Drosophila melanogaster: one gene and its partner. The protein of the gene in region 1 interacts with the protein of each later gene in a biochemical or structural test. Each region holds a gene or a part of one and is shown on either strand. Other genes may lie near its edges.

Region 1 (7,887 bases):
ACTTCAATTCCACCAAGCACATTTTTGGAAAAGCTCTGTTTCCACTGAGCAACACTCACAATGATCTAATCTGCTTAACTAGCTATATTTTGCGTTAACCCTACTTATAATAAAATTATTTATTTATGTGTAATAATAAATTTTAACGTATTAAAAACTTAACACAATATAAACAAATATTTTGTGATTAATAATTAAATAGCATGATAACCGGAAACATAACTGTGCGTGGTCCGTAGGTTTTATTAGATATGATATGCCATTATGAAAATCATAAGACTATACATTTATAAAGCGATTTCTGAGATTCAAGATTCAAATGCTCGTTTGTATGTTTATAAAATGTGGTGCGTGCATATGCATACATAATGCTGCGACACATCACACGAAATACCTTCAGTATTTTTAATAGCAAAATAATATACAATAATACGCAAAAACTATATCTAACAATTAAGATTCTATTTTCATTTCATCGATTCCACTATTCCGCAGCATTCCTAAACTTGGCGTCGCTATCTAGACGAGCTTTCCAACAACAAAGTTCAGTATATTTAATGTTAAACAAAATAACACAGTTTTGTTAATTGATTGTGAATCACGTATCTCCATTCACCTTCCCCAGTCCGAGAATCGGATTGTTTATAACCGCATTATCATCGAGTGCGTTAAATAGGGCGTAGGCGTACCATCGGACTGGATCCACCTTAAATAATATGGCTGCCGAGATAAAACCAGCTCAGCGGACCAACAATGATCGCTTTAACACCTCCAAAAAGCCGGAATTGCTGAGTAAGCTGGAGGGCAGCAGCGACGATGTGAACGCAGCGATCCTAATTCCGGGCGAAAACGGCGTAATTAGCGTTTCCGATGACAAGTGCGTAGCTGTAGCCCATTAAAAATATACACAAATGGTATGCCTGACATTTTCATGTTTTCCCCAATAGAACCGTTCGCGTTTGGCTAAAACGCGATTCTGGTCAATATTGGCCTAGCATTTGCCAGTATATGCCTTCCGGCTGCACGGCCATCGAGTACGTTTCGGAATCCCGGCACCTGTACGTCGGCCAGGAAAACGGAACGGTCACCCAGTACGCGCTATCCGAAGACTGCAATCGCCTGTCCTTCCTGCGGGATTACTTGTCCCATCAAGCGCGGGTCATGGCCGTGGTCTTCTCGAAAACCCACAAGTGGATACTCTCCGCCGGCAAAGATAAGCAGTTCGCCTATCATTGCACGGAGAGCGGCAAACGGGTGGGCGGATACAACTTTGAGACACCATGCACGGCTCTCCAGTAAGTATGATAAATGGATGGTGAAAGGGGGAAGGGGGTGCGACAGTGGATATGGGATAAGCGGGTCATTTAATTGGATTAAACTGCTTTCTTTGACACGGCAATAAACTGCAATTCTTCACGGCTATGGAATTCATTTAGAATTTGAGAACCTTCTATTGTTAATGACGTGTCAACTGAGTCATTTTATCTACACAAAATTTTGGCATAAATGTGTGCACTGTGCGAAATATTCTATAAGCAACATATAATTAATTATAATCTGCGTTTAGGTTCGACGCTTTGGCCAAGTATGCCTTTGTGGGCGATCATGCTGGACAGATAACAATGCTAAGGTGCGATGTTCAGGGAGTGCAACTAATTACCACTTTCAATGGACATTCGGGTAAACAAGTTACAAATGATATTTAGTAAGCTAATTATATACGAATTGGTTAATTTTTAGCGGAAATCCGGTGCCTCAAATGGGTGGAAGGCCCTCAGCTCTTGTTTAGCGGAGCTTGCGATCAGTCCGTGCTAGTTTGGGATGTTGGTGGCAAACGTGGCACCATTTACGAGCTGCAGGGACATAGGTATCTCCAATCTTAAATAATATTCATAAAATAAGATAGTAATCGGCACTTCTGATTATGTAGCAACAAAGTTTCCGCCCTGTCGTACGCGAATCACACGCAACAACTGATAAGCTGTGGCGAAGATTCAGTAGTGGTTTTTTGGGAAATGAATGCAATGCGGAAAGAGGTTCCTGGCTGGGTGGATACCAACAACTGTCAGCTTTGCTCCAGGCCCTTCTTCTGGAACTTCCGCTCAATGATGGATCAAAAGCAGCTGGGTGAGATAAATAGCTTACACTTGAGTTACTCTTTGTTTTACAAGTAATTTCTGACTGTCAGGAATACGACAGCATCATTGTCGCCACTGCGGCAAAGCCGTGTGCGACAACTGTTCCACCAATCGCATTAACATACCCATAATGGGCTTCGAGTTTGATGTGCGTACCTGTGATCCGTGCTACAAACAACTTCAGACAGTCGAGCGCCCCTCGCTGGCTTCATTCAATGACGCCAAGCATTCGATCGTCTACATGGACCTGGACGAGGACAGAAAGCGCCTGTTGACAGTGGGCCAGGACAGGCTCATCAAGATCTGGGATCTCTCCAACATCTGGGCATAAAACATCCTGTACGCACACGCACGTACCAAAGGTATAATCATTCACGAGGCGTTTCGGTCTTAACTGGAACACCCAATTAACGAACGATGTGGCTGGCAACGACCAAATCCAGTCCCTGCTGCTTAGGTTCTCATATAATTGATGTAAAGCAATAATCATTGTATGTACGTATGCTTACATTCAACACATAAATACACGAATCCATCGATTAAGTGGTGTTTTCTAAATGAGTTTTTATTAGATTGTACTTTATACTTAATAGCCACCCCTGCCCGGTGGTGGTGCTCCACGGATCATGCTGGGCGGCGGTCCGCGCATCGGTGGCGGAGCACCGCGTCCCATGTTTCCTGGCATCGAGGGCATGCCGCCGGGAATCATGCCCGGTGGCGGTGCACCCATCATCGGTGCTCGTGGCACTCCTCGTCCCATCGGAGCCATGTGCTGTTGGGCGGGTCCGCCCACACCTCTCACGGGACCCTGGAGACCCGCTGGCACGGCGGACAAGTTGATAGGCATTCCGCGTCCGGCCACGCGACCGATTCCCGGACCAGGAGCTGCTCCCGGAATGGGAACTCGGGGCAGGCCCTCCTCTGGCGGCGGTGGTCCCTCCACCGTCAGTGAAACTATGTTCTCGCCGCGCAGCAATACAAAGCCCAGCACGCGCTTCTCCTCGCGCTCGGGCACCTTGGAATTCTTCGAGCGAATCTTCCGGAACTCCTCGCAGTCGCCGAGGATCAAGTTCATGTGTTTGTCGAAGGCTTTGAAGGTACCGATGAAGGTACGCGAGTCCTGCAGCACGATTCGCACCCGATAATTCAGGTGCTGAATCATTTTGTTGTTCTTGCCGATCGTCTGAAATAAAGGAATTCAAAGGATTTAATTGTGAAATACAATAGCATGCATAAAAGTCGCGCCATCTTTTGTAAACCATTTCGACCCTTTAAAAAAGCCGGTATTTATAAAAATTTTAATAAACCACAGAGTTTGAAATAGCAAATCTCAGCGTAATATCGAAGATCACTAAAAATCATAATTTTAAACAAATATAAAATAGTTAATTAGCCAAAACAAATTGTTTTATTTATTCGCATGCATGTTTGTATGTATGTATGCCTATGTAAATACGAAATCGCAACCGCGAAAGTAAGAATCTATGAATTAATACAACTAAACAAAACTTAACCATTGCAGTCAGATGCTTAAAACAGTGTTTTTACTTACCATTTTATTTGATTTCTATGTTAATTCTATCGCTTGTAAATAAAATACAGATGCCGGAACCTCACCACGGCTTTTTTCGATAGGCATGAAGAATAAATCGAGTGGCGTGTGCGGCGGTCAGCATTTTCTGGTGTCTTTCAATCGAGCCTATCGAATATAAATTTTTTATTGATAATCCACATGATTTTTTAAACAAACATTCGACTATCCCTAGCAAAAGAAGAGAAAAAAATTAAATTTTTTTTAAATCTTATGATAAAAAACGAAAAAAGAAAAAATTTGAATCAGTATGTTTTTTCTCAATTTTTTTCGTTAGAGATGGTCGAATTTTCATTAAAAAAATCATGTGGCGGCACTTATCGATATCGATAGGCAGTGGCCATGTTATCAAACTTATTCTTATTCATCAGCCACGTCATTGTTTATGCCGACATTCTGACAAGTTTTTTTCCGAAGCGGCAAAGCCCTCACATCTCTACTCGTTGGCAAATTAGGCGAAAAGTCATTTTGGTAACGTATGCAGCTGTTGAAACACTGAATGCCGCCATTATTGCTATAGTATACACTCCCATTTTCATATAGGCGTGCGTTCCGTGACGCAGCCGCAGCGAAAGGAAGTAGAACAATCAAACAGCCAACCGGGCAGCCAAGTAGCCAAGTCGGCGGATTAGATCACGATGAATATCTTTCGCTTTGCTGGGGATCTGTCGCATGTGTTTGCCATCATAATACTGCTGCTGAAGATATGGAAGACCCGCTCGTGCGCCGGAATATCGGGCAAGTCGCAGATCCTGTTCGCCGTGGTCTATCTGACGCGCTACCTGGATCTGTTCACCACCTACGTGAGCCTGTACAACTCGGTGATGAAGGTGTTGTTCCTGGCCACGTCCGGTGCCACCGTGTATTTGATGTACGTGAAGTTTAAGGCCACCTATGACCACAATCACGATTCGTTCCGCATCGAATTCCTGCTGGTGCCGTGCGCCCTGCTCTCGCTGGTGATCAATCATGAGTTTACCGTGATGGAAGTGCTGTGGACATTCTCGATCTATTTGGAATCGGTGGCCATTCTGCCGCAGCTGTTCCTAGTGAGCAGAACCGGCGAGGCCGAGTCCATCACCAGCCACTACCTCTTCGCCCTGGGATCGTACCGTGCACTCTACTTGCTCAACTGGGTCTACCGGTACATGGTCGAGTCGCACTACGACCTTATCGCGATCTTCGCCGGAGTTGTCCAGACCGTCTTGTACTGCGACTTCTTCTACTTATACATTACCAAAGTTCTTAAGGGCAAGAAGCTCCAGCTGCCGGCATAAGCGGATGATGGATAAGTGCATAGATGTGGGACATTTGTGTTTTGTCGGCACACATCATCAATCGACGTCAGAGTAAACAAGCGAGCGATCCACGGCCCGTTTGACAACGCGTATTTCGTTCATATTATACAAAAGATACATAATCGAGGGGAGCGCCTAAGTTGTAATTATTTAATGAGAAATAAACCGAAAATCGAAAGTACACTATAAACTATGCAATACCGACATCGTACATTGAAAATGTAACAAATGTATTAATCTCCGTTTTCCGAACTGCACTCACAAATTTTAGAATCCAAAAATATTAAAAAAAAAAATCATTACTCCAGTAAGAGATAACGTTAATTGACAAAATCGAAACAAATGTTTTCTCTTTTGCGCGGAGGCTTATCTGATTCGCAATAGTATCACAGAAGAGGTCATAGATTTCTTTGTTTAATTAAGAATTTAAAGTTATGCATTAAATAGCTCTTAAGTCGACTGTATCCTAAAAATCCGAGTAAAGTTAAGTCTTATTGTGTGGCTAATAGTAAAGTAAATGATGAGCGATGTCAACATATAATACACATAATATTCTGAAAAATAGGCCGCAGGATCGTAGGAACTCCATGTGCTGTTTTGCACAACTTCTATTGAATTCCGAAAAGATATATTAAATTTCTGCAACACCCTCGTTTCCCCTTGCACGCTTCGCAGTCATGCCAGATGCAAATGGAAAATTTAATTTATATGGAGATCATGTACGAAACAAATACGAACCTAATGTGGCATAAATAATATTTTAAACACTTTTGCAGATATTATATTATAAACAAAGTACAATAAACAACTCGATTTTCTTTTATTTATTAGATTACAATGCAAAGAGTTAGTAAGGATGTATAAATATATATTACATCTCTATAAATTGTTTAGTTTCCAAAAACTTGAAGCACTGTGCCGTTATCAAAAAAGGGGGAATACCCCTAACACTCGGCTGTTATCTGTAAAAATATTTACAGCACTGCCACACTGCAAAAATGTCATAATCAAAACAAAATGAGAAGAATTGGTCTTTTAAATAGTTTAATGCGCCAGAAAACGACTGCCAGAAACTTGTTTCAGTTCGGCAAAGTTAAGGGGTATGGGCTCCGGCTTATCTCTTTCAGGACTCTATTCTGATGGGTATACTTACAGAGATACTGGCAAATATGAACAGATCGTGTCCACCGGCCAAGTTTCCCCGGAACGTTTTGTGCCCGAGGAGATCAAGAAACCGGCGTACTACTTCAAGAATATGCCACCGGGTAACACGCTGGGATCGCCCGAAATCAAAAGCCAGGTTCAGATTGATGCCATGCGTCTAAGCGGCAGACTGGCGGCCAGGATACTGCGCGAATGCGGTAAACTAGCAACAGTTGGCACAACCACCGATCAGATTGATGCCTTTGCGCATGAAAGAATTCTCGAGTCCAAAGCGTATCCGTCGCCGCTGAGATACGCCGGCTTCCCAAAGTCCATTTGCACGTCGATCAACAATATCGCCTGTCACGGAATTCCGGATGACCGGCAGTTGGCCGATGGGGATATTATAAATATTGATGTCACAGTCTTTTTGAACGGCTACCATGGCGACTGTTCGGAAACATTTCGGGTGGGCAACGTGGACGAACGGGGTGGCTTTCTCGTGGAGGCCACTAAATCCTGTTTGGATCAGTGCATTTCGCTGTGCGGCCCCGGTGTGGAATTCAATGAGATTGGAAAGTTCATAGACAGATATTGCGACGAACATGATCTGGCATCGATAGCTGCTTTCATTGGACATGGAATCGGTAGCTATTTCCACGGCCCCCCGGAGATACTACACTATTGTAAGTAAGACTGTTTAAGAGACTCCTCCATTGCTAATCAAACTGCACATCGTAGATAATGAGATTCCTGGAAAGATGCAGCCCGGCATGACCTTCACCATTGAACCCATTCTGTCCCTGGGCGGAGCAGAAATAGCAGTGCTGCAAGATGGCTGGACGGCCATTAGTTTGGATGGCGCACGTAGCGCCCAGTTCGAGCACACCATTCTGATAACCGAGACGGGAACGGAGATACTTACAAGAGATCAATAGAATTTTATGTACATGATGCAATTTTTATTCGTGATTCCCATAAAGTGTTGAATGAGTGCTGGATGGCAGTCTTGTGCATTTTGTGCCGTTTTAATCGTCGACTCCGTCTGGTTAGGTGCTCTAATTGATTGATGATGCATACAGAATTTAGCTACAAATCGCATTGGACTTCTGCACCGGCTTCTGAATGGGAAGGAAGAGCTTAAACTCCGGCGGCAGCTCGTCCTCCGAGTAGAGACGATCGGAGAAGTAGACGCGTCTGATGCGGCAATTTGCATGAATCTGTACACGGAGTGTCTCCACATAATTGGTGCCGTATGCGCGACGCGTGAAGTCGGACAGGTTGAACTGGATCTGGTTCCATCCCTCGTCCAATCGCATGGGCATGGTGCAAATGAAAGGCTTGACACGAGTTGTCGACTGGTAGTTACTGGCCCTAAACCTTCGCCGCACGTTCTTGTCATCGAGAACCTGATTAGGGGCGGAAATCATGGAGTTACTGTCTTATGCAAGATGACGAAGCTTACCTGAACCTCGAAGGTGAAGTACTTCTTCATGTTCTTGATGATCATCACCAGGAAGGGCAGCTTGATGCCCAGCGTCTTCTTCGGATCTGCCGGACATGTTATGAACGTGGTGCTGACATTGGTGCCGACTATTTCCAACACGAGGCTTTGTATGTCGTTGTCGGTGATCCGCTTGATGTGTCCATTGCGCACCTTCTTATCCCACAGCTGCAGTGGCTTTGAGCCAATACTGTACAGAATTGATAGGAATCC
Region 2 (5,501 bases), on another chromosome or scaffold:
TACCGTGCGTTCTTCGTATTTCTGACGCAAAAAGTCCTATGAAAAGCAAGCATTATAAATAAAAATTGTTCATTCGATTCATAAGACTTCTGTGCTTACCTGTAAGATATTCTGCTCCGATACTTGAGATCCAATTGCAAAGCGACGTTTCAATTGCTTTTCGATGCGGTTGAGTGTTTCCTGGTCCTCCTCGGTCGTGAATCCTTCGGCTCCAGCCAAGCTGCCAGTCATCGCAGCATCAAGGGTAGACACTTGGAAAAGTCGAAGTGCTTCGTTCACGTGCTCATCTGTGGCGAACGGTTGCAAACGAATCTTTGCCAGCGACTCCGAAATGCGGATGACAGCCTCCAACTGACGCACAGTGATGGGAATGCTTAGCCGCTTGTCAGATGCCTTCTCCTGCTGGCCGGCTCCACTGCGCATAAGCACGTAGCGGCTCTTTAGCTTCTCGCCGGCAGCTTCGCTCAGGCGCGGACCGCAATGAGTTCGGCAGTAGTGAATATACTTCTTGAACGTCGACAGCGATATCTCACCCTCAGCCGGCTCTGAAGGCGCTGACTTGTTAGAGCTCAGATGCACGTTGATGATGTGCTTGGCCAGCGTAATGTCCCGCGACTCATCGTGAATATCCTTTACAATGAAAATCATGTCGAAACGGGAGAGAATTGTGGGCATAAAGTCAATGTTCTCCTCGCCCTTGGTGTCGTCCCATCGACCGAAAATGGAGTTGGCAGCTGCCAAGACCGAACAGCGTGAGTTCAAGGTGGTCGTGATGCCGGCTTTGGCAATGGATATTGTCTGCTGTTCCATGGCCTCGTGAATGGCCACACGATCATCCTCTCGCATTTTGTCGAACTCATCAATACAAACCACGCCTCCATCGGCCAGCACCATGGCTCCACCCTCCATGACAAAGTTACGCTAAAGATTAATGTATCATTTAATTTGTAAGGATTAGGTGTGCAATGTTTTTTCTCACCGTTTGAGGATCCTTCATAACCGAAGCCGTGAGACCAGCCGCACTGGAGCCTTTGCCCGAAGTGTAGACTGCTATGGGTGCCACCTTCTCCACAAACTTTAACAACTGTGACTTGGCAGTACCAGGATCTCCCAGCAGTAAGACGTTAATGTCGCCTCGACGGCACAGACCATCCGGTAAACGCTTACGAGACCCGCCAAAAAGCATACAAGTTATAGCTTTCTTGATATCCCGAGAGCCGAAGATGCTGGGCGCCAGTGACTGTGAGAGACGTTCGTAGATGTCCCCAGAGGCGGCCATTCGCCGGAAGTGCTCCTCCTCATCGGATGTGATGTTGCTGTATCGGGAGATGGCACCCGCACCCTCTGAGTCGACGGTGATGCCCACCACCCTCATGTAAGGAGCACGGACTCCAACGACGGCTTTCTCGCGACCATCCCGACGCGAGGGTTTGCCCACCTTGCGAATGGAGTATATGCCCTGGATAAGCACGCGATTGCCGGGCACCACGCGTTCACAGAGCGAGCGATCGCAGAAGAGCTGCAAGTGGCGGGGAATCTCACCCTGTGGCACAAAGTCGGGGAGCTCTTGCAACTTAAGGGTCTGGAAATCGACGCACTTGCACTTGTCCGGCATGATGAAGAAGGGGTCCAGCGGGCACTTGGGTCTGCCCGCCTGCTCCGTGTTGCACTTCCTGGGTAGGGCGTAGCCCTCCAAACCTGGATTCACTTTGAGATTCGGTATGACCGTGCTGCAGGACAGGCATTGGATAGACATCCGCGTAGCCTTGGCACTTATTCCTGAGGCTGCGACAATGATTCCGGCGATCTTAACCAGCTTGGATACGCAGTCCGACTTCAACTGTCGTATGTTGGTGGGATTCGCATTGGAGCTCAGAAGAATCTGGATGTCGTGCATATGTTCCTCGTGCTCCGGCCGGGGAGCTGTGATCTCGTCGGCTACCTCCCGGGCAGCCTCCTCGAAGATTTCCAAATGCTCCGTCGGCTGCTTGTTCAGCTTGTCAGCCAAGGTCTCATCGAAGCCCACCAAATCCTCCATCTCAATCTCCAAGAAGTAGCGACCATTAAGATAGTTCCTCTTCAGGGTGTCACTGCAGGGGGATTACCTTAAATGGGGTTCAGATGAGGAGATGCAGTTCACTTACCGGTATTTGTAGAAAAAGTTCTCCTCGTTAAATGTCCGGATGAACTCCTTGTACTTCTTCTTTACCGCCTGCAAGTTGATTTGCGCATCCTGCTGGTTATCTCCGCCGAAATTGTCCGAAAAGAACACACCCGCATCGTCGAAGCCTTCCATTTTGATAGGGTAAACAAAGTTAAAAAGAAGAACTGAGGTAATAGACGCTACTTCTGCTTCGCTTTATATTTCGTTTTTTAGTAAATGCGATGTGCGAATATTTTGCCGCCAAAATTACCGGGCAAGCGGTAGCTAGAGATGAGCACTTACCAGTAAAACTATCGGATCTTATTTACAACTATCGATGAAACGTGTTTCCCAGTTTATGTATTTTTGTTAGCAGTGAAATAGGACCAATACAACAAGCATTGCAGCAGTTAATAAACCATGAACGTATTTATTATATCTTATTGATGTTATGACAAAGATTATTTTACTCGATTATATGGAACATGCCTTAGACAACTGACTCCAATTCTTCCCAGCTCAAAAATACTAAAATTTCAGAAAAATCCAATAATATCGAGCTGGCGATATTTGTTTCCAGCTTTTGTGCGGGGGCAGTGTTGATAAGCGACCTTTTAAACTAGCGTGCTGTAGAAACAGTCCCATCATTTAGTCGCCAATTTTTCGACGTGAAAAACCAAAGAGACGCCGAAGAAATTAGAAAATGGTAAGTTTTGGTCAAAATGTGACGGCAATCGACAGGCCAGTAGCTGACGAACCCGATTCGCAGGCCAGCACAGACATTCCCATGGAGGCAGCTGTGGAATCGGCGACCGGCATCACGCCCAATTCAAATGCGAACTCAAACAATGTGGCGAAGAAGCTGCCCGCGGAGGGCTCCACCGGTGATAATCCCAATGCCAACGCCGACGAGATGACGTCCCGCGACTATTACTTTGACTCCTATGCCCATTTCGGGATCCACGAGGAGATGCTCAAGGACGAAGTGCGCACCGTCACATACCGCAACGCCATGTACCACAACAAGCATCTGTTTCAGGGCAAGGTAGGGTTAACTTCCGGGGTTTCCCCATTTTTCGTAGCCCTTCTCACCGGGGTATCTCCTCTTTGCAGACCGTACTGGACGTGGGTTGCGGTACCGGCATTCTCTCCATGTTCGCTGCCAAAGCCGGTGCTGCTCAGGTGATTGCCGTCGACTGCTCCAACATCATTGAGTTTGCCCGCCAAGTGGTCATTGACAACAATCTGCAGGATGTAATCACGGTTGTCAAGGGCAAGATTGAGGAGATTGAGCTTCCAAATGGTATTGAGGGAGTGGACATTATTATTTCCGAGTGGATGGGGTAGGTTTTCATTTGTAGTTAAGCTTTTAAAAAGTGGTCATATTTGATTTAGCATATTAACCATTTTAATTTCTTTCCTTAATTTAGTTACTGCCTGTTCTACGAATCCATGCTGGATACAGTGTTGTACGCTCGGGACAAGTGGCTGAAGAAGGACGGCATGATGTTCCCAGATAGGGGCACGCTGTATATCACGGCCATCGAGGACAGACAGTACAAGGACGAGAAGATCAACTGGTGGGACGATGTCTACGGCTTCGACATGAGCTGCATTCGTAAGGTGGCCGTGACCGAGCCACTGGTCGACGTGGTCGATCCCAAGCAAGTGGTATCCACATCTTGCATGGTCAAGGAGGTGGATCTGTATACCGTGCAAAAGGCCGATCTTAACTTCTCGTCCAAGTTCAGCCTATGCATCAAGCGCAACGACTTCGTGCAGGCATTAGTCACCTACTTTAATATAGAGTTCACCAAGTGCCACAAGCGTCTTGGGTTCAGTACGTCACCAGACTCCACATACACGCATTGGAAGCAAACCGTGTTCTACCTCGATGACCACATGACGGCAAAGAAGAACGAGGAGATCACTGGCACGTTCCAGATGAAGCCCAACGAGCGGAACAACCGTGACCTGGACTTCGTCATCGACATTAATTTCAAGGGCGAATTGTCTCAAATTCAGGAGTCGAACACATACCGCATGCGCTAGGGGCAGCCATAACCAATCCGATCTGCCATTTGGGATGGGGCTCAGAGCCCTGCAGCGAGGATACATACAATGACTAGACGTAAGGTTTATTCCAGTGCGAAATGTGCAACGAATTCGTGTTGCGTCTTCTCCTAAGTTTAAAGTGTACCTTTGTTAGTATACATAATATTTTACACTCGTGCGCCTGTTTAAATTATTATTCGAACATACTTCTAAGCAAGTTGTACAGCAGCACGTCAATTCTCACATAATAAACAGTGCACTAAGCACGTCCCCTTTTGCTGGAAACAAACTGTTTTTGATGATATATGAAACCAATCAAAACTCGCTGATTGTGCGTCTTTATTTTTTAGTAAAAAAAAAAAAGGAATTTCAAGAATGCATCGAAAGATTTATATTGTCATCTGAAGTAAATTTACTTGGATCGCAATCGACATAGGAATTCCTACAGAAAATACGGCCTTGGCCGGCTTGTTCTTTGATGCGACACTGCTTAAACGATATCCTTTTGGAAACATTAATGACGATCCCGAGAATCCGAGCGACTTCGACGATCGCGCGAGAAGCTGCGGCTGCGGGGCGATCGGGAGCGACGTGGCGAACGTGACCTGAAATAAACGCATTGGTAAAGAAGAAATGATTACTTAAAAGCTTAATAAAATTATTTAAATCAGCTTAGAATGGTAAGAAGTGTATGTACATACGCGCCTTACAAAGAGCTGCAAAATAGGAGTGTTAAATACTGCTAAATAGTTACTTAAACTAATTACCAGGGGGAACAAAAATGAAAGCTGTGCAAACTGTTTTGTTTCTATGAATTAAGCTGTGAACCAATTAAGATAAGAGTATTATTGCTAATGCTGCTATTACATTTAGCTGCTGCAATTACATTTACTATCTATTACCAACTGATATCCTATAATTAGAGTTTAAAGCTTTCTACTTTGTCGGATACATATGCAATAAGAAAATGGTCGAACAAATCTATAGTAGCTGTGATCATCAGCGTTAAACGCGTTCAAGGCCAGTTTTCTCGACATCAGAGTCAAGTACTTGAGAAAGCGGACGAACCCTCATATCATAGGCAACTAAATTAAAGAAATAATTGTAAGCAATTATTTGAAGGATACGCAGGATAACTTTAAAAAAGAACTCTTTGGGCGACTGCATTGCTTCTTCTAGGATGAAATCATTTGGGTTGCTAATCAAAACTTCTGTGAGGCTGTGACGCTGAACATGGTTAATTTAGAGTTGCAAGTTGAAGGTTGCTGGCTGTGGCTGTGAAGATGGTTGCTGTTGTAGATTG

The links.
Region 2: of the proteins of SmB (region 1) and Art1, one has a biochemical effect on the other in vitro, tested with the Drosophila melanogaster proteins (one study listed by BioGRID).

What each region holds. Positions count from the first base shown.
Region 1 is NT_033779.5:10,422,804-10,430,690, forward strand, and holds SmB (small ribonucleoprotein particle protein SmB), read right to left. Parts: upstream 3,825-7,887; 5' UTR 3,694-3,824; coding exon 3,691-3,693; intron 3,322-3,690; coding exon 2,725-3,321; 3' UTR 2,680-2,724; downstream 1-2,679. Other genes in the region: Wdfy2 (WD repeat and FYVE domain containing 2), read left to right, coding at 717-877, 948-1,295, 1,568-1,680, 1,741-1,867, 1,931-2,127, 2,189-2,469; KdelR (KDEL receptor), read left to right, coding at 4,368-5,006; CG5188 (uncharacterized protein), read left to right, coding at 6,045-6,127, 6,183-6,856, 6,912-7,108; Bug22 (basal body up regulated gene 22), read right to left, coding at 7,256-7,579, 7,636-7,887. UniProt on the Drosophila melanogaster protein: Plays a role in pre-mRNA splicing as a core component of the spliceosomal U1, U2, U4 and U5 small nuclear ribonucleoproteins (snRNPs), the building blocks of the spliceosome. Involved in germline establishment and development.
Region 2 is NT_033777.3:10,785,460-10,790,960, reverse strand, and holds Art1 (arginine methyltransferase 1), read left to right. Parts: upstream 1-2,734; 5' UTR 2,735-2,846; coding exon 2,847-2,849; intron 2,850-2,912; coding exon 2,913-3,188; intron 3,189-3,256; coding exon 3,257-3,486; intron 3,487-3,573; coding exon 3,574-4,195; 3' UTR 4,196-4,480; downstream 4,481-5,501. Other genes in the region: Mcm5 (minichromosome maintenance 5), read right to left, coding at 1-36, 100-921, 980-2,090, 2,145-2,296; Rbp1 (RNA-binding protein 1), read right to left, coding at 5,441-5,501.